Caenorhabditis elegans: one gene and its partner. The protein of the gene in region 2 interacts with the protein of the main gene of each other region in a pairwise test. Each region holds a gene or a part of one and is shown on either strand. Other genes may lie near its edges.

Region 1 (3,756 bases), on a different chromosome or scaffold from region 2:
CACGTGACAACTTCACTGAACGGGGGTAATAATATTCCAATGATAGTAACTGTCAAGTGTCGATCCCTTTTGTTTTATGATTTCCGCTTGAACGGTCATCGTATACTGTTTGGCTGAAGAGACATGTGGTGGTATAATCCTCTGGGAAATCCAATCTTCACCATGTGTCTCGAGAATATCTCTGATGTTGACTTGTTACTGTAGGATTGAGTGGAATTGATATTATTTTTGATATTAGGGCGATAGCGGTCATTTAGTTCAATTTTTGGTCATTTAGTTCAATTTAGTTCATTTAAAATTTCCTAGGATTTTGTTTTACGGTGTTCCACCGACACTAAAAACTGATTGTTCAGATCAGAGGTGTACGTTAAATTTTTTCGACAATTCTACAAAATGGCCTGATGTGGCATGTTGGTCTGATATTTTTCATTAAAATTTAGTGTCAAAATATAGGATTGATTGATCTGAAAATAATTTTTTAGTTGAAAAAAAATCCTTAAAAGTTGTCTGAAAGGTGAAAATTGCTGGAATAAATCAGACAAATTATTGACACTTTTTTCCAGCAATTGGCAACTTTCATGCAATTTTTAATCATATTTTCACATTTTCAAACTTAAATGAAAATTATTTTCTGATTAATAAATTATTTGTTATATATTTTTGCATTAAATTTTGATCTGTTTTGCCTGTTGAACTAAAATGCTCTAGTTCAGATACAAGTAGTTTCAAAGAATTTGAGAGATTAGATTATAAAGACATCTCAACAACTTCTAGAGCTCACAACAGCATCTATTGAGTTCAATTGAAAAATTCAATTTTGGAGAAGAAAGGATTTAAACAGAATTATCTATATTTGAAGTGTTGCTAACATACTTCTTGTCATCTGTCGCCTGCATCGTTTGCACCTGCCACCATTACCGCCATCTCACGTCGTCGTCTTCTTCATGTCTTCTTTCTTATTTTGCCTGTTGTGTCCCCGGCGGTCTGTCCGGTCCATCAACATCCGTCTGCGCGCGCAGTGACCCTTGCGTTCTCTTTTTACGTCTGCGTCTCTACAGGACACTAGCACTGTCTCATATGACCAGCGGTCTGCTACAACGGCCGTTAGCCTCCCATAACAATTCGCTTGTCTCCCGCTTTCGTACGCTATTCCCGGAGCGGTGCCCACCCCAATGGTTGGGCCCTCTTGAGAGAAATAGTTCGTTTTGGTAGCTCTTCCTTTTCTTCTTCCTTTTCCACGATTTTCGCATTTTCACACCCAACGATTTGTAATGCGTTGTGCAACTAATAATTGAGACTAGATTCATCACATCTTTATTTGCTTATTTTATTTTATGCAGTGAAGACATTTGAATAATGCATACTTCCTGAAAAAGTACGTATTCTAGTGAGAAGATCTAATAACGTTTCGCAATGTTTCGACCTTTTCCATCCTATTTTTAGCTGCTTGAGTATAGAATTTCTTCAAAAATATCAATGAGTCAGTCATTTTAAAACAAACTTTAAAATTTAGTTTTAAAAATTGGCAAGACCATTTTGACCAAAATTTGGCAAGAGATTGTTTAGACTAGGGTCAAATAGAATTAAATTAGCTCAAGCCACATGTTGCCAATTTCCGATTTAAGCCATTTTTTTCCGGATTGTTTGAAATATTTTGTATACCAAACTTGTTCCAAGAAGATGTTAAGCTATATGAAAAGCTTCTAAAATTGTAATGCACTTATTTTTAAATGTTCTGGAAAATTTTGTTTTTTCCATAATAATTAATAATTTTGTCTCGATTTTTTCTTTGATTTTTAAAATCTTATTTAGTGTGATTTTCCATGATTTTCGAGCAATATTTCATCAGAAAATTTAAATCGAAAATCAACTTTTTCTCTCTTTTCAATACGCACTCTATTTTATTTTCTCAAATCTCTTTTTTTGAAAGAAATTTAAAATTCTTTGAAAACTGTCATTTTTTCAGATAAACGGGTTCTCATCTGATCGTCACAATACACACACAGACATTCAGAAGCACATGATTATTTTGAATTCAAGAAGAGTCGTCAAATTCGCATAAAATTCCTCCATCAGTTATGGGCGATTATGATGGAAAAGTGAGTTTTTTCAGTTTCATGGTGGCGGCAGCGGCAACTTGTGAAAAAAGAGGCAGAGATGCCGGCGCCGTAATCCATTGAAGCGATTAATGCGGAAAACGAGTGCAAACTGTACGATTTGATAGAGAAAAGAATACGTTTTTGTTTTTCGAATGTTCCGAGAAATGTCTTTTTCATCAAATTTTTAAATTTCAAATAATTTAATTTTGTTTTGTTAATATTGCCCAGACGCAAAGTTTTGCGATATTTGCAATAAAAATACGGTATTCGGTCTCGATACTACAAATTTTTGATGAGCCTTTAAAGATTACTGTAGTTTAGTTGATTATTGATTTTTTTCTCTATATTTGTTTAAATTTATGTGTTTAACAGTTTTTTTGTTGTAAAATTGTTCCGATGAAAAATTTTTTTATAAATAACAATGAAAATTGATGAAAATTCCGCAAAAACCAAATGCTAGAGATTACAGTATTCTTCAAATAAAATTTTATCGTGTCAAGACCGGGTACCGTATTTTGATACAAAAATCGTTAAATTTCGCCTATGAGTAGTAGAAAAAATTAACACCAAAACAGCAACTAAAAAATTTAATATAACTTTAAAGTTTTGCCAAAATTGAAAAAAAAAATTTCCGAGATCTCTACTCTTTTTCACGACTATAAATCTTGATTAGGTCCAAACTAAAGAAAAATAAATCATAATAATTGATGTATTACGATTACAAACCTTCCCAGACAATTGTTGAAAAGTGTAAAATGAGTTCATCACGTTTTTGAAATATGTTATGAGTCAATTGTTTTGTGTCACTCATTCCGAAATTCGGTGCTCTCCCGGTGCTCCTGCTTCTTCTCACCCATTATTTCCGGATAGATCATGAGATGGAGAGACGCAGATAGCACGATAATAGTGACCGGTTGTGTAAAGTTGTGTGAGAAAAGAAACGAAATAGTGGGAGCTTATCAAGCTCTTCCCTCAATCCTTGAAACAGATGGTACTCTCAAAGAGTGCCTTCTCGATTAGCACCAATCTTACTACTAGTATGTTGTTGTTCGAGACAGGATTATGACCTCGAGAAGCGAGGAAAATGTGAGAGAGAACGAATACCAACAAAAAAATCCGAATAGTGTGTGTGTGTAATGACGGCAGTTTATGGCAATCGGGGAAGACATTGAGAATTGTTGTAGTGCAAAAAATTGGAGGAAAAAGAAAGAAAAAATGAAAGAAAATCTCTTGTGTGCCGGGTTTTCTTTCTTCCTTTTTCGTTTTTTTTCGTGTTGGTTTGCCTTGCAAGTAAACTAGTCAACTTCAAAATACTCTGGTTGAGCTTTTACAAAAAGTTCTCTCAGTCTTTTTTCTTTCAAATACAAATTTTTCTGCCCAATTTTTTCACAAAATAAACAAAAAGAGCCAAACTTTTATAGGTAGTTTTTGAGTACATTGTACTGATTATTTTAATTTAAAATCAATGATTCTAGTTTGTTATCTCTATTTTACAGTTTCATAAAATTTAAAAAAAGTAATGTACAGTGAATGATTTCAAATTTTTCTTTCAGTATTGGCCATACAAAAATGAAAAAATACAAAAAATAAAAAAATTTTATAAAACCTAGATTTCCGTTTGACATTTTCTTTTTTATTCCAAGTTTTAGTGCAAGTT
Region 2 (3,756 bases):
ACTCGTATTTATTAGTATAATCTTTATTTTTATCGCGGCTGGACCTCACTATCAGATTATAAACTGAAATTTTATCGCAACCAGTGTCATAATACAAACTATGTGAAAACAGGTGACACCACTCCCGTTCACCCATTAACCTCTCCCAATTTTACAACATCTATCAACTGGAGAATCTATGAGCCATAAAGTAAACTAATGCGTAAGTAAAATATTCTGTTTACACATGTCAACAGTTTAATAAAGCAACAACATATATTTTCGTTCTGATTGACATTTGACATTAAGGTATACCTGTGGGGGAATGTACGGGGGGTCCATCAAAAAGAGAATACCGCTCCCCCCCCCCCCTCCAGGTACGTCGTCATCATCATTGACTCAGGAAACGTTACAACAATATCATTTGGCGGCAAAAATCATCGGACCTAGTCATCCGTGGTGTGAATGGGTGATGATTGGAGAAGAGGGGAAAGAGGTGAGCACACACACAAAAAAACAACAGAAGAAGAAGAAGAAGCAACTGGTGGTGGTGGTGAAAAGAGTTCTGGCGAGAATTGGGATTAAGTGGCGGCACGTGTGTCTTTGGAGATGGGACACCTTCTCAAAGGTTCAATGATGTATGAGTGAGTGGGAAACGGAAGAAATTGGAGAAAGGGACTAACTGAAGTAAGGTAGAGAATGCCTGCCTGTTTCTGTGCCTACTTATAGTTTTATGATGAGTCGCAAGACCTAGATACTGTCGGCTGCTAGTGAACTCATGTTTGATTTTATGAAAGAGCAAAATAAAAATGGATATTCAAAAGGCAGGTAGACGTTAGGCAAATTAAAACGCCTGCCTGCCATCAATGAAAGCGCTAGAGTATATTATGACTGCTTGATCAAATTTTTCTTGAAATGTTAATTTTTAGAAATATTGACTAAACTTTAATTTGTTAACTTTTCCGTTATATTCCCAATTTTAAGGAGAGGTGTGATTGATAACGTTTCATAGATCAGACTTTATTAAAATTGTGAAAATGTATAGAATCTCTGCAAAATTCACGTGATTTTTAAATGTTACAACCAAAGATAATTTTGAGGTAAGTTTTAAAGTAACGTTATTGTTTCAAGAAATGTTTTTATAAAAAAACACAGAAGGCAGTCTGCAAAGCGAGAGAGTCTGCCTCCTCGTCGGAGGGAATTTTTACTTTGGGAAAACAGTTCAGAATTTTTTGCAAAACTATATAAACATTTTATAAATGTTTTTTTAACAAACGCAATCACATCACAAGGAAATTTAAAATACTTATACAATTTCTGAAACAGTAATTTTTTTCAAATTTTTTAAATGTTCAAACCGTGGCCATACAGATACCAAAAGTAAAACAAATCTAGTATTTACTGACAAATCATCAAAAAAAAGTGTCATAGCTCCTTGAAACTAACACCAAACAATTCACTGACCCCTCTTAATACTTCCTAATATTTACCCCCGTTACCCCCTGCCGGGGGCACCCATTGGCATATTTTCTAAACAAAGAAAAGATAGTCCTTAACTTTTTTATAAGTAGGATAAAATAAGAGGGATTAATTCAAAAATCAGAAACTCACTTGATTTGTAGTCCAAGAAATAATCGCTGTATGCTGCATCTCCATTGGAATCTGAACTCACATCGGGCGTGTCGTCCTCCATCTGTAGAATTTCAAATTTTCAAATTAAAAGGAAAAACTGATGGAAAGAATAAAAATCAAAATGAAAAAATTGTGGAGGTCCCGTGAAGAAATAAAAAAGGTTTTTGTGAGCACGGAAGACATGTGAACAAGAGGAAGAGAGAGCGGCGATTCTTGTAATAAAAACCAGATGTTAAAGAAAGGATAAAGGTCCGAAAAATACAAATTGGACAACCAACCAGACCACAGACAGAGTTCAATGTTTTCTAGATTTGGGTTGGAAAAAATAGTGAACTTTTCTGTCTGTAAACTTAGTAATTATAGATTTTTTTCACTTTCTAAACTGATTTTTTTTCAATGATCCAAAATTATTTCTTATTTAAAAAATGGAACGAAAAACCACAGAACATCAAAACTTATTTGAAATTACATTTTGAAAAAAAACATGGTGAAACAGTCAACTTTTTAATTTAATTACAATATAGGGGTTACAATTGTTGACATACGACTATGGTCTTGAAGTTGCATTAAATAAAGTGAATCTACTGAAACAGACAAATAAATTTTATAAATTTCAACTATCTAGAAAAAAGTTTTAGATAACTTTTTCGTGATGTTTCGTGCTGATATGTAAACTCCTTGCTGCTCAAAAAACTGTAAAAATCTGTTTGCAATGTTATTACACTTCACCTACAGAGACATTTTTGTATTTTCTCATAGAAAACTTATTTGACTTTTTTACAATCATAGAACACTCAAGAATTTGTTTTCGGATTAAATACAAAGGTATCATACGAGGCAATGTCGGAGAAAAATCTGAATTTAAAAGAAGCCTTACTGAAACTGTAACAATATTTTGTGCTTCAAGAAACTAAATTCTCAAACAAATAGGAGGTTATTGGAATTTTAAACGAACTTAAAAAAAGGGAGTTGATTTTTTTTCTTCAATTTGCACACTTTGGTTTAGTTTGAATATAATCAGGATACAGAAAAAATTGATTTTGATGAAAAAAAATCATCCAGAGAAAATTTGATCCAGTAAAAACATGTTTCATAGTTTTGATGAATTTTATATAATTTCACAGTTGTATTAGAATTGGAATAATACCCGTTCAATTATTGAAGAATTTTGAATTTGATAAATATTCAGACCAACTTTTTCTTACATGGAACTCATAAGCTTTATTGTCTCAATAACAATAATGGATTCAATAAAACAAAAATACTCTTAATTCACAAAAGATCCAATTGAAACTGTAAAAAAAATGTGTGCTTCATCTTCAGTGATTGAATTCTGAAGGAATAGAAAATAGTGGAAATTAAGACAACAAAGCATGGAATCTGAAAAAATGGAAAATTTTTCTAAAAACATTTTTTAGAGATCATTATATGGGGAGTGGTAATTTGAATTCCATTGTTACGCAGATTCTAGAAAAGTCGTCTTTGAAAATACTTACTATTCACTAGAGATGTTAGCTAGAGAACAATTTTTTCTGTAAAAGCCTGTTTCATTATTTTGATAAATAAACCATGATTTTTGAAATGTTAGTGACATCTGAACATTTCTTTTTTAAAAAAATTACTGTTTCAAAGTCAAATGTTATAATTTTATTAAACTTTCAATGTTAATCGTCCTATGTGTCAAGCAGAGCAAGATTATGTGAGAAATTGTGAGAAAATATAATATTTGAGCAAGTGAATGAAAAGAGTACCGCCTAACTCAAAAACTTGAAATTAACATAATAAAGAGAAATTCTCGTGGTAAAGGCGGGAGATTCCCTGAAGGGTTACTGTAGGTTTTCATGGGTTGGAAGGAAAAACTACAAATTTGAATAATAGGTGTCTTAAAAATTATTTGAGAGGTTTGAACAAAAACATTTGACAAAATAAAAAAAAACAAGATAAGATAACAAATATTTGGACTACTGTTTTGCACTTGTTTCAAAAAAAATAATACAAGAAAGTTTTCGCTTCTATTTTGTCAAGTTTTGCAGATTTGAAAATACAATGAATATAAAGAAAAAAAATGTAATCAAGAAAAGCATAGCAGTAACAATGGTATATCGGAAGTTAGGCTGATATTTGAAAGCATTGTAAAACTGCAAT

Evidence for each region. The genes of interacting proteins can lie anywhere in the genome.
Region 1: the proteins of unc-5 (region 2) and unc-73 interact in a two-hybrid assay, tested with the Caenorhabditis elegans proteins (one study listed by BioGRID).

Annotation. Positions count from the first base shown.
Region 1 is NC_003279.8:4,029,950-4,033,705, reverse strand, and holds the start of unc-73 (CRAL-TRIO domain-containing protein), read left to right. Parts: upstream 1-1,966; 5' UTR 1,967-2,078; coding exon 2,079-2,099; intron 2,100-3,756.
Region 2 is NC_003282.8:5,526,667-5,530,422, forward strand, and holds the start of unc-5 (Netrin receptor unc-5), read right to left. Parts: upstream 1,673-3,756; coding exon 1,591-1,672; intron 1,260-1,590; exon of another isoform or gene 1,239-1,259; intron 975-1,238; exon of another isoform or gene 954-974; intron 37-953; exon of another isoform or gene 16-36; intron 1-15. UniProt on the Caenorhabditis elegans protein: Receptor for netrin (unc-6) required for axon guidance. Mediates axon repulsion of neuronal growth cones in the developing nervous system upon ligand binding.